Callithrix jacchus: one gene and its partner. The protein of the gene in region 1 interacts with the protein of each later gene in a pairwise test. Links are inferred from orthologs where the notes say so. Each region holds a gene or a part of one and is shown on either strand. Other genes may lie near its edges.

Region 1 (5,872 bases):
CTGAGAAAATAATACTCTTAGCACTCTACCCTTCATACTCAGCATATATCATCTGTCCCATATAGTTTTCAATTATATAATAGAAAATGTTTTCTACTAGTTCTCTCCAAAAGTTGAAAGGGGTTTCCTGAATTAATTTTTTCCCCTCCCTCAGTTAGTTTTTCCTCTTCAACTCCAAACAAACTAATGTCTATACATAAATCCTAGATCCAAGATTCCATCACAAGAAAGACCATCCAAGACCCACAATCTATATATATTCTAGCTACCACTTATTTCTGTAGTGCTACCTGTAGCACATGATATGAGAGAAGTAGCTTGGAGATTTGACTGTTGCTTTTTGTTCTTTCCAAACTCTATCACCAGTATTCTCCCACGTAGTTTATATCCATTTACTAGATGCAATGCTTGCCATGCTACCTCCTTATCTAAAAGAGAAAGAAAAAATATCAATTTACATAGGACTTAATAATTTAATTCTATTCCAGGTCTAGTTTTGGTTATTTTGCCTTGGAGTTAAATGTAAGCTGTAAGACCATATAATCATTTGATTTTATCATTTTTTCTATAATCTCCCATTTGCATTATTCAACAAAATTAAACTAATGTCTAAAAATAATAATAAAAACTCAAAATGGGTGTTTGAGGGTGTCTCCTAATTCAAAGAAATAAGTAGAGAAACAAGGATATAGGCAGTGTGCTAAAGAAGTCTAAGCTATTAGTAATTATACACAAGCCTCTATCTTACATAACTGATTATAGGTACTGTGAGAACCAAATCATTTTCGAAATGAGTAACACAAACAAAATAAGTTATCATGTTATTAAGGGCACCTTGCCACTTTATGTTTTTCAGTGGGAGAGTGGTTCTGGGCCACCTTATTGGGATGAATAAGTTTAAGAATCCTTGCAGGTATATGGGTTGAAATGTGAGAATATATACTATATGCCGGGAGTATTCAACTTATGGGTCTAAAAGCCTGGATGTAAGAAATAAGGAAGGGGTGATTTATGGCCAGGAGTTTGTGGTATCATAAGTAGACAAATAGACTAAAACAATTTTGTTTCATATATATATGTACTAGAAATCTTTTAAAGTGTATACCTTTTAAGAGTAGTAAAATAGCTACACATTTTAAAGTCCTTGCTTTATAAAGCCTTTTTATTAAGTATTTTTTCAATTAATACATCATATCATGTGGAGTGCCCATAAACTGTTTTATAAATTCAAAAGGGGTTCTTACCCTTGAAAAAAACTGAAAACTACTGATATAGAGGATTTAAAAAATCTTTAGTACAATAGGAAAGATGGTACAAGACGGTATGAAAACAATGGAGGGGGGCTTAGCAGTACTCATGTGTAAAATCACTTGCCTACACATAGATTAATAGGCTATTTAGAAATGATGATACTTTAGGGACAATGAAAGGTACAGATTCTACAAAGCCTCCCCACAAAACAACATATTATCTGGTCTGTCACAGAAACTAAAATTCTTATATTATTCTTCCCTTTGGATTAGAAGCCATGCATTAATATGCAAATAATATTTAGAAGACTATCATCATCTACTAATTATGAATTAGTAATAAATTAGTACATTAGCTTGCACTCACTGAGTCCTAAAGGAACAGGGCATAAGGCAAGTACATGTGTTCGGATCAGAATACTAATACATTAATTAATGAGTAATCTAATTTTAACTTGGAATAGAAATCCTATCATCAGTGAAGGGAGTATAGATTTTGGTAGGATAAGAAGGAAGTGTCAAGACTGGGAAATTTGAGGACACTGGGGTAACGTGGTCATGCATTGTCAATGGAGGAGAGGAAACACTGAAAACATATTTTCCGTTCTTTCTCTTGTTCTCACATGCTGTGAAGAAATCAAAGGACTATATCTAAATTAGAGAGGTTATAGGTAGACTCTAGTGAACTGAGGGGCAACTGGGTAATCATCTGGATTAAATTACTTACTGGGAAAGGTGATGAAAGCCTGGCCCCTCATTCGTCCAGTCATCATTCGGAATTGAATTGCAGGTCCTTTTTTCTCCTGGAACCGAGCGAACAATGACACAAGATCTCTTTCAGTCACTCGAGGGCTAAGGTTCTTCAGGTATAACACCTAAAACAAATTGAGGATCAACCAAAATATCATATAAAGGAGATAAGGCAACTCTTTTCTTTTTCTTTTTTGAGACAGTTTTACTCTGTCACCCAGGCTGGAGTGCAGTGGTGTAATCTCGGCTCATTGCAACCTCCGCCTCCCGGGTTCAAGTGATTCTCATGCCTCAGCCTCCCAAGTAGCTGGGATTACAGTCATGCACCACCATACATGGCTAATTTTTGTATTTTTAGTAGAGATGGAGTTTTACCATGTTGGCCAGGCTGGTCTCGAACTCCCAACCTCAGGTGATCCAACCACTTTGGCCACCCAAAGTGCTGGGATTATAGGTGTGGGCTACCACGCCCAGCCATAGGCAACTCTTTCATTATGATTAGAATTAGTTTCACATAAAAATGGCAGACTGAACACATTCATTTAATTTCATTCCATCCAGAAAACTCTCTAAAACTATGGGAACCTTTTTGTTGTTGTTGTTTGTTTTTTCAGAGAGAGTCTCACTCTGCCAGCCAGGCTGGAGTGCAGTGATATGATCTTGGCTCACTGCAATCTCTGCCTCCCAGGTTCAAGCAATTCTCTGCCTCAACCTCCCCAGTAACTGGGATTATAGGCGCCCACCACTATGCCCAGCTAATTTTTGTATTCTTTATTAGAGATGGAGTTTCAACATCTTGGCCAGGTTGGTCTTGAGCTCCTGACCTTGTGATCCACCCACCTTAGCCTCCCAAAATGCTGGGATTACAGGCGTGAGCCACCACGCCCGGTTACTATGGGAACTTAAAAAAACAAAAAACACAAGCCAAGGAGGTCAGGAGGAACAAGAAAAGGAGATAACAGCAGTAATAGTCTGGAAGATGAAAAACTGGATGAGCAGGAACCAACTCAGCACACTGGAGAAAGCTGAATTTTAAGCTGGTAGTGGAGAAAAACAAGAACCCACCTGTCACCACTTCAGAATCCTGAAATAGTTCCCAAACTGACTATTTCACTTACCTTCAGAAATAAATGTGAAAAGATGGGGTTAAAATAAGGCAGCTGGGTTGAAGGCTGTCTAAAAGCCAATTTGATCTTTAAATACCCTCCCTCACAATATACTATGGGGTAAAAGAAAACTTGCCAATCCTGGTAGAATACTTGAGGCTTATCACCAGACGACAAGGAATGCCATACATAGTTGAAGATCTGAATACTGTTTCTGAAAACAAGGAGACTAAGAGAAAGAATGCATACTAAATGTTGAGGTCCTCCTAGACCTTGCCATTTGGCTCCTAGAATGCTGGTAGTATCCTCCTAACAAAGAGTTTGGAACAGTCTTCTCTGGGAAAACTGGTAAGTCCTAGGAGGAAAGATATGAAAATACTGACTTGGGATGAGGAGTTTCTCCAACAAATGGCCCAGCCAGACCACTTTAAAGTGAAGCTCAAAGTCAACAAGAGCCACTTGTGTGCTTAGAGATTCCAATCTGCTTTTTGGTCCCTACCTATAAAGTTGGGCATGGATTATCAGGCAACTTAGGAAATCCTCTAATGTGAAAGAGAGAACACAACAAACATACAGAAAAAAAAAGAAATGGGAGGAAAAAACTTCAACAAACCATAACTAATATCCCCAGAAAAATAAGATAAATTATTCCTCCTATTAGGCATGGGAGGGTAGGTACAGTGGCTCACCCCTGTAATCCCAGTGCTTTGGGAGGCTGAGGTGGAAGGATCGCTTGAGTTCAGGAGTGTGAGATCAGTTTGGACAACACAGTGAGACCCTGTCGCTACAAAAGAGACAGGGTGGCATGCGCTACTTGTAAGCAACTGGCCAACTTTACTAGTCTCAGCTATTTGGGAGGCTGAGGCAGGAGGATTACCAGAGCTCAGGAGTTTGAGGCTGTAGTGAATTATGATCACATCACACCACCACACTCAAGCCTGGGCAACAGAGTGAGACCCTGTCTCAAAAAAACAAACAAACAAATCAAGAGAAGTAAAATGAGCTCTTATATGTGACTGAACTTAAGATGTTATCAGCTTCAAACAGATTGCTTTACCATGCCCTATACCTATAGGGCATATACAGAGGAAAATGAGAAATATGTGAAAGTATGTCACTACCAAAAAACCCAATGAACCATAAAGGAAGACAGCTGACAGAGAGACACAAGAGCTAAAAGAGAGACAGAAAACAATGAACAAATGGTAATAGTAAGTCCTTTGCTAGCAATAGTTACATTAAATATTAATAAACTCTCCAAAAGACAGAGTACCTGAATGGATAAACAAGATCCAACTACATGCTAGCTATTCTATGAGGCCAGGATTACCCTGAAACCAACCCAGACAAAAACACTGTAAGAAAAATACAGACCAATAAACAGATGTAAAAATCCTCAACAAAATATTACCAAACCAAATTAAATAGCACATTAAGAAGATTATACACCATGACCAAGGGGGATTTATCCCTGGGATGCAAGGATGAATCAATATACAAAAATTGATCAATATCACATATTAATAGAAAAAAAGATAAAAATTATATGATCATCTCAATAGATGCAGACAAAATTTTTGATAAAATTCAATATTGTTTCAATGATGAAGACACTCAACTACTAATAAAATGAAATTATCTCAACATAATAAAGGCCATATATGTAAAGTCCACAGCTAACACAATATTCAGTATTAAAAAACTGAAAGCTTTTCCTCTAGGATCAGGTACAAGGCATGGATGCCTACTCTCATCACTTCTATTCAGCATAGTACTGGAAGTTCTTGCGAGAGCAAATAGGCAAGAAACAGAAGTAAAACGCATCCAAATCAGAAAGAAAGAAGTAAAATTATCTCTGTTCACAGTTGAACTGATCATACATGTAGAAAACACTAAAGATTCAACAACAAAGAAGAATTAGACATCATACTGAACAGAGAAAAGCTGAAAGCTTTTCCTCTATGAACTGGCAAAAGACAACAATACTCACTCTCACTACTCTTATTCAACACAGTAGTGGAAGTCCTAGCCAGAACAATTAGATAAAGGAAAGACATAAAAGGTATCCAAAGCACAAAGGAGGAAGTCAAATTATCCCTGTTTGTAGACAACATGATCTTATATACAGAAAAACAAAACAAAACAAAAAAACCTAAGAGACTCTACCAAAAAGCTCTTAGAACAGATATGCAAAATCTGTAGAGTTGCAGCATACAAAATCAACATACAAAAATCAGTAGCATTTCAACTGTGAACTAGCTATAAAAGAAATCAAGAAGGCAATATTTATAATAGCTACAAAAAGCAAAATAAAATACCTAGAAATAAATTCAATCAAGGAGGTGAAAGTCCTCTACAAGAAAAACTACAAAACATTGGTGAAAGAAAGTGAAGAGGATACAAACAGGAAAATCAGTTGTGGTTTCTATACACTACTAATGAACAGTATGAAGAGAAAACTAAGAAAGTTATCCCATTTACAACAGTATTGAAAAAAATAAAATATGGAAAAAAGGACTTAACCAAGGAGGTGAAAGACTTGTACTCTGAAAACTACAAATGTTGCTGAAATAAATTTAAAAAGACACAAATAAATGAAAATATATCCTGTGTTCATGAATTAGAAGACTTAGTATTAATATATCCATACTATCCAAAGCAGTCTACAGATTCAATGCAATCTCTATCAAAGTCCCAATGGCAATTTTTACACAAATAAAAAAAACAATCCCCAAATTCATATAGAACCACAGATGATACCAAATA
Region 2 (6,322 bases), on another chromosome or scaffold:
AAGTCACAGTTAATCATCATTTAAAAATAAAAGTTTCATGGGTGATAAATTTATCTGTACACCAAACCCCTGTGACATACAATTTAGCCATGTAACAAAACTGTACATGTATCCCTTGAAACTAAATAAGAGTTGGAAAGAAAAAAAAGATAATATGGAATATATTTAAAAAAAAAAAAAAGAGAGCTTTGTTACCATGTTGACCGGATTTTGACTCCAGTTCCACTAGAGTTTGTGACCTTTGGCATGTTATTTAATTTCTCTAAGCCTCGTTTTGGTGCCCGTAAAATGGGGATAATAAATATGTATGTTGCAGTATTGTTTTGAGAATTGAAGATAATATCTGCAAAAATAAATAAAATATAAAGTTTCAAAAGTCAGAAAAATAAAATGTAATTACAATATTTTCCTCAAATTCATTCTTATTATTCCAACAATCTTACATATCCACTTCATTTCTCTTCTACTTCCATTATGGAGCTTTTTCAAGACTTGAAACATAGAGTTAGATCGATGAATGCACTGCTTACTTAGTGGCTCACACTATCAGTAAATAGCAAACAAAACATGACCACACTCTTACTGGGGTACAGTTGCAAGAATGCAGCAGACATATACTTCTCACTGGAGTTTCTAAATACTTATTACTGGGTCTTAAAAGAAGTATATATTGTATTTAAGAAAAAGCTATCCAAATATTTCACATTTTTTTAACTAGGAAGAAAATTTTTAGCATAGCTAATTATTTTTCTTTTCTTTCTTTCTTCTTTCTTTCCTCTTTCTTTCCCTTTCTTTCTTTCTTTCTTTCTTTCTTTCTTTCTTTCTTTCTTTCTTTCTTTTCTTTCTTCTTCTTCTTTTTTTTTTTTTTTGAGACGGAGTTTCACTCTTGTTACCCAGGCTGGAGTGCAATGGCGCGATCTCGGCTTACCGCAACCTCCGCCTCCTGGGTTCAGGCAATTCTCCTGCCTCAGCCTCCTGAGTAGCCGGGATTACAGGCACACGCCACCATGCCCAGCTAATTTTTTGTATTTTTAGTAGAGATGGGGTTTCACCATGTTGACCAGGATGGTCTTGATCTCTTGACCTCGGCCTCCCAAAGTGCTGAGATTACAGGCGTGAGCCACCATGCCTGGCCCACTAATTATTTTTCTAATTAACTATTTTTATATTCTGAAGACATTGTTTGTATTATTATAGTAGCTCTTTTAACCATTTGACTTTCACACAAATTAGAGAAAATAAACCAACTATCATTTGTTAAAATTTTAACACATCTGTTATGGCTAAGAATATACGTGTCTTTATAATGGTATGTTTGGAAATTTTCCCCTTTGTATATATACCACCACAGTATGGCTATTTGATGCAAGTTACGAAAAAAATCAGGGTGCTACTTGACTGTTTATGACCATGAAAAAAATGAATGTAAAAAAATAATTGTTAATCTTAAATGATGAAAACTTATTCATTTAAATGTTCTTGGATAGACCACATACTCAAGACAGAATTCCAAATAGGACTTTTTTTATGTCAAGACTGAGACAGATGCTGCAAAATTAATTTAGTAATCCAAGACTGTAAAAATGCCCATATTTTAGCATCCCATAGAAAGTTCTAGAAAATGTAACCGGTTGTTTTCAGTTAGTGATTATTTGTCACAATTTAGATAGTAAAATGTTTGAGGTCAGCTAGTGATCCAATGCCAATTTAATTTGTGGATCTTCTTTCTCTCAGTCCCTACCTTTAGCTTGGGAACCTTCTCTCCTTGCAAAATAGACACTTTTTCCCCCATATCCCCACCCCCACCCCACTCTCTCAGTAAGCAGTAGAAAAAATCTGCACAATTAAATTGATCTAAATCCCTATGGGTTGCTTGACGAAGAAAAAAAATATATATATATTTTTTTCCCATGAGAAGCCAGTAGGCGGTGCTAAATGTAGGATACTACCTTCAACAATTTTTAACCGAAAACTAAACAGGTGGCCTGTTTAAGAGTTGTAGAATTTCCAGTATTATTCATACAGGAAGAAATCTGAAGGACTTGAATGTAATAGACAGAAATGTAATACAAGTATACAGTATAATTAAAAATGAATCTTAAATGAAAGCACAGATAACTAAAGGTTCTTAGAATGATATTAAGTTACAGAAATCAAAGCACAACTACCTCTCTATCCTCACATTAAAATTATTTTTGTTCCCATTTGAAACCATTTGATATCAAATGATTTCAATCTCATTGAGAAATATATAGTACAGCCAGTGCTTTGCTCAATCTTAAGGCAGAAACTACCTCAACATTAGGGCAGCAATTGATTCTCTTAATGAAAATGCAGGTTCAATAACTCAAGTTATTTCTTGCTTGCTTGCTCTGTCTCTTTCTCTCTCTCTTAAAAGAACGAAATGACTTACAATACATAAAATATACCAAATATACACATAAATTATCTTGCATTTTTAATAAATGAGCATTTATATGTACATACCTTGTTATAATTAAAATGATTTTTAAAATCTCAGAATGTTGCAAATAGCTTTTTAATGTTTTATGTTAGCAGTTTGAACCATATGAAAAACTATATTTTAGTAATTAGCTCACTATACAAAATAAGAAAATACTAATTTCAGGCTGAGTGCCATCATATTGACTTCAAATCTTAGAAGAACACACATCAAGATATCAAATATAGTGTCCACAAATAGCGACATAAACTATCTTCTTTATGTAAATGCAACAGGATTTCCTTCATAGGGAAAAGCTACTCTAGAACAAAATAACTCACAATGAAGTGTCCAAAGGCTTTTGAGATACTTGCATTCATTATGAATAAAAAATACAGAGTTTTCCAGATATAATAGTAACTTTTAATCTTCTACAGAAAAATGGCCCTTTGCACTGCTTACTTTTCTACTACAAAGAGTAAAAAATAAGGCATAAAACTTTTCATTCCACAAACTGAGGTTAAACACAGTGAAATATTGCTTGAAAAAGCCTGTGTACTTTGTCCTAGGCCTCTCTGTATGTTGGAGTTAGTTTGTATTTTTGTAGTTACCTAGAAGAAAACTTCATCTGAGAGGTAAAAAATTGTTTTATCTGCCTTATGTTTATTTTACAGCATTCAAAATATATGCACATAATAATTTAAAGCTAAACTTTTCATTTAAGGGGAGAAAAGGTAAGAAAATAAAAGCTTCAAAATCAAATTATTTAAATAATGGTGACTCTCCAGATTTTCAGATGTATGCCTTTATGAAATTTATTTGGACAAAAAAATTTCCAGCAGATTCTGTCACAGTGTTAAATACAGAAAAACCTTTTTATTGCTCGCTGGTACATATCTGAAAAGTAATGCTAAATTATTCTGAAAATATGTAACAGAATAATCATAAAATATCATAGACTACATTCAACACTGAGGACTTCAGTGCTACCAACACACGAAATCATCACCTTTGTCACCTGTACACAGTTCTCAGGGGAAAACCTTTAAAGTCGGTATAAGGCGGTTAAAAAGAGGGAAAACTCTGCCCCTTTAAAATTTAAACAAAAGGCGTTTTTATCCCTTGAAGGTGTAGGGTCATTAATGCAAACTAACAGCTTAGTACTCAATATTAAACCCAAGTCACCATCATATAAGAAAACTATTTCCCCATCCCCTGGAAGACGACACCAGCAGGCACTTAAAACCAACGCAAAGCAACAGGGAAAGGAAAGATCCAAAAACAGCACCACTAAGAAAGCAAAGCCCTTTGGAAAAGCAAAATAGGCTGGGAAAGACCTACTGCGTCGTTTACTCATTGCGAGGAGGAGGAGCAGGAGTTGAGCGTGCTGGGGCTGGTGCCATCCTCAAGGCTCTGGAAATGTCTCGAGCTCCGGCCCGCGTGGCCTGGAGCCAGCCCCTCCGTAAGAAGCGGTCTCTGCCGCTTCTCCCCCGCTCTCCCGGGTGCTCTGAGGGTCCCCTTTAGCAGACGGCCCGCACCACGTACAGGGCCCTCGTCCCTCCTGCTGTGCAAGTGGCCCTCGGAGAACTTACATGGCCCGCCGGCCGGCGCCGCCCGCAGCGCAGACGCCACCCGTCGGGAGACGACCTGGGCGCAGCTCACAGTAGGGTGTGCGGGGGTCCGTATTTTGGGCACATCTAGAAAACGACCCTGAGGCAAGGAACAGACTTTGGTTTTCCCTGGCTCCCGGCGCGGCTCTCCCCACCTCAGGCTCCGACACTGCCCGGAGATGCGCGCGCGCAAACACACACACACACACATACTCTCTCTCTCACACACACTCACGCATTTCTTTGCTAGGACCAGTGTTGCCATTGCACACCCGGGAAACGCCTCCAAGGGGACCAAGTACCTGCTCTCTGCGAGCTGCTCAGCTGTTCACTTCATCCTCCGTTGACAAGGAAACCAAACCGCACTTCATTTTTTTTTTTTTTTCCATAAAAACCTTCCACTGCCATCATTTGGAAAATTGATTTACGGGGAGGGGAGAGGGAGAAATAAGGGATAATATAGATATAGATATCAGGATATCTATCATAAAATTATCTCGGTTTTTTAAAAAAGTCAAATGTGCAAAAGTCATAGTTAATTTAGAGGAAGAAAAAAGTATTTTGCTTAAAAATGATCCCAGTCACCAGCTGTAAGAAAAGTTTCATGTTATCAATGGGTATCAAAAACAGGAAGAAAAAAACGAATTTGTTTTCACCGGCTTCCAAAAAGGGCACAAAAATATAAAATTAATGTCTTTGCTCAGTGGTTTGCACCAGTATTGCAAGACCACAAACTTGTAAACACTGCCGTAAAATCCCACCTATACAAAAAATGTTATCAGAAAAAGAGTATGCAAAAAAAGAGTTAGAAACATGCTTTTTATTTTTACAGAGGAAAAAAATAGGCACCATACTTCACATCGCTTTTTCCATAAAACCAGTTGCACATTTTGCTGGACTTGGGAGACGCTCCCAGCGGGCACGGTCGCCGCGGACTCCCAGACACAGCGCCTTGTCTACAGAACGATCGCATGCTAGAAAAACTTGGATTCAGGAAAAGGCTCAAAACCATGCTCCTCCAGCTTTCCCAAATATAAACAATAATCAAAGAAGTGGAAAAAAAGAAAAAAACAAAAAACAAAAAAAAAGGACAAAAAAAAAGAATAGGACAAGAATGCCACTGAGAAGGTACTCACCGAGCGGGAGTAAAATGTTGGAATAAAAATGAGATTTAGTATAAAATACAGTATGGCGGTGGAAGAAGGAATGAAGAGCGTTTTTTTCTCGCAGTCTCTGCCTCAGGCACTGACACGTGACTCGGAGCCAGGCTGACTTGCAGGCAGCGGGGAAGGACCGAGGCTGCGAGGGGGGAAGCCCACGGAGCCCAACACTGGCTGTCGAGGAGGCGGCGGCGGCGGCGGCGGCGGCAGCGGCGGTGGCGGCGGAGTCCGGCGCCTGCGAGCGGCAGCACCAGTGGCGGCAGCAGTGGCAGCGGCAGCTCGCGGCGAGGCTGCCTTCGCTGTGAGCCCAGACGAGCAGGTGCCCCTCACGCTGAGGCTGAGCACACGCACACGCACACGCAAGACAGGCAGGGCGCCGGCGAGAGGGGGAGCGGAGCGGGGTTGGGCCGGAGGCGCGCAGCTGCCGCCGCCTCTGCCGCCGCTGCCTCTGTTGCTGCCGCCGCCGCCTCGGAATGGGAGTGTGTGCGGTGGGGACGTCTCAGGGGTGCTGATCCAGCGCCTTGAGAGGAGGTGCACAACTTGCTGCTCACCTCAGAGTTGTTGCTTGCCACTTCCTTGTGTATTTCATGTATTTTTCATCTCAAGGTAGTTACCTGGGGATAGATACCATCCTTTTCTCCGTGGAAGTTTTACTATTCGAGCCCAAATTCACTCATTCATTTTTCCCCCCTGATTTTCCATTCCCATTCCCTCCCAAGCTGTCTTTGCCTCTGCTGTTCCCTCCTCCCTGGATCTGTGTTTCCCCTCCCGGTTCTCAGGGAACCTGGCTCCGCGCGATGCTGGGGGCGTTGTCACGGGCAAAGCCACCGTCAATCTTTACTGCCATCTGAACGCACTGCTCTCGTTCCCCGTCTTCAAGGAGGAATGCTTGCAGTTTGAAAGACACAACAACACCTCTTATTTAGGAACCCCCGGGTTTCTTTCTGCGGGTTTCGGAGCGGTGGGTGGGGGCGTGGGTGTCTTTAATTTATTCATTCGTGGACCAGGCATTGTTTGTTTTGTCTGAGTGTGCGCGGGTGCTTCTGAGCTGGTCTGGAAAGCTCCGAGGGTCTGTGCTCCATAGCAGAGACTCCTGTATGACTCTTGCT

What was found.
Region 2: the proteins of RBM41 (region 1) and RALYL interact in binary tests that used the Homo sapiens proteins (3 or more experiments, as listed by UniProt). The two-hybrid records come from large-scale screens. The link is inferred for Callithrix jacchus from reciprocal best matches to the Homo sapiens genes RBM41 and RALYL.

Annotation. Positions count from the first base shown.
Region 1 is NC_133524.1:103,630,192-103,636,063, forward strand, and holds part of RBM41 (RNA-binding protein 41), read right to left. Parts: intron 2,126-5,872; coding exon 1,978-2,125; intron 429-1,977; coding exon 262-428; 3' UTR 1-261. UniProt on the Homo sapiens protein: May bind RNA.
Region 2 is NC_133517.1:42,625,987-42,632,308, forward strand, and holds the start of RALYL (RNA-binding Raly-like protein), read right to left. Parts: upstream 4,239-6,322; 5' UTR 3,801-4,238; coding exon 3,785-3,800; intron 1,788-3,784; exon of another isoform or gene 1-1,787.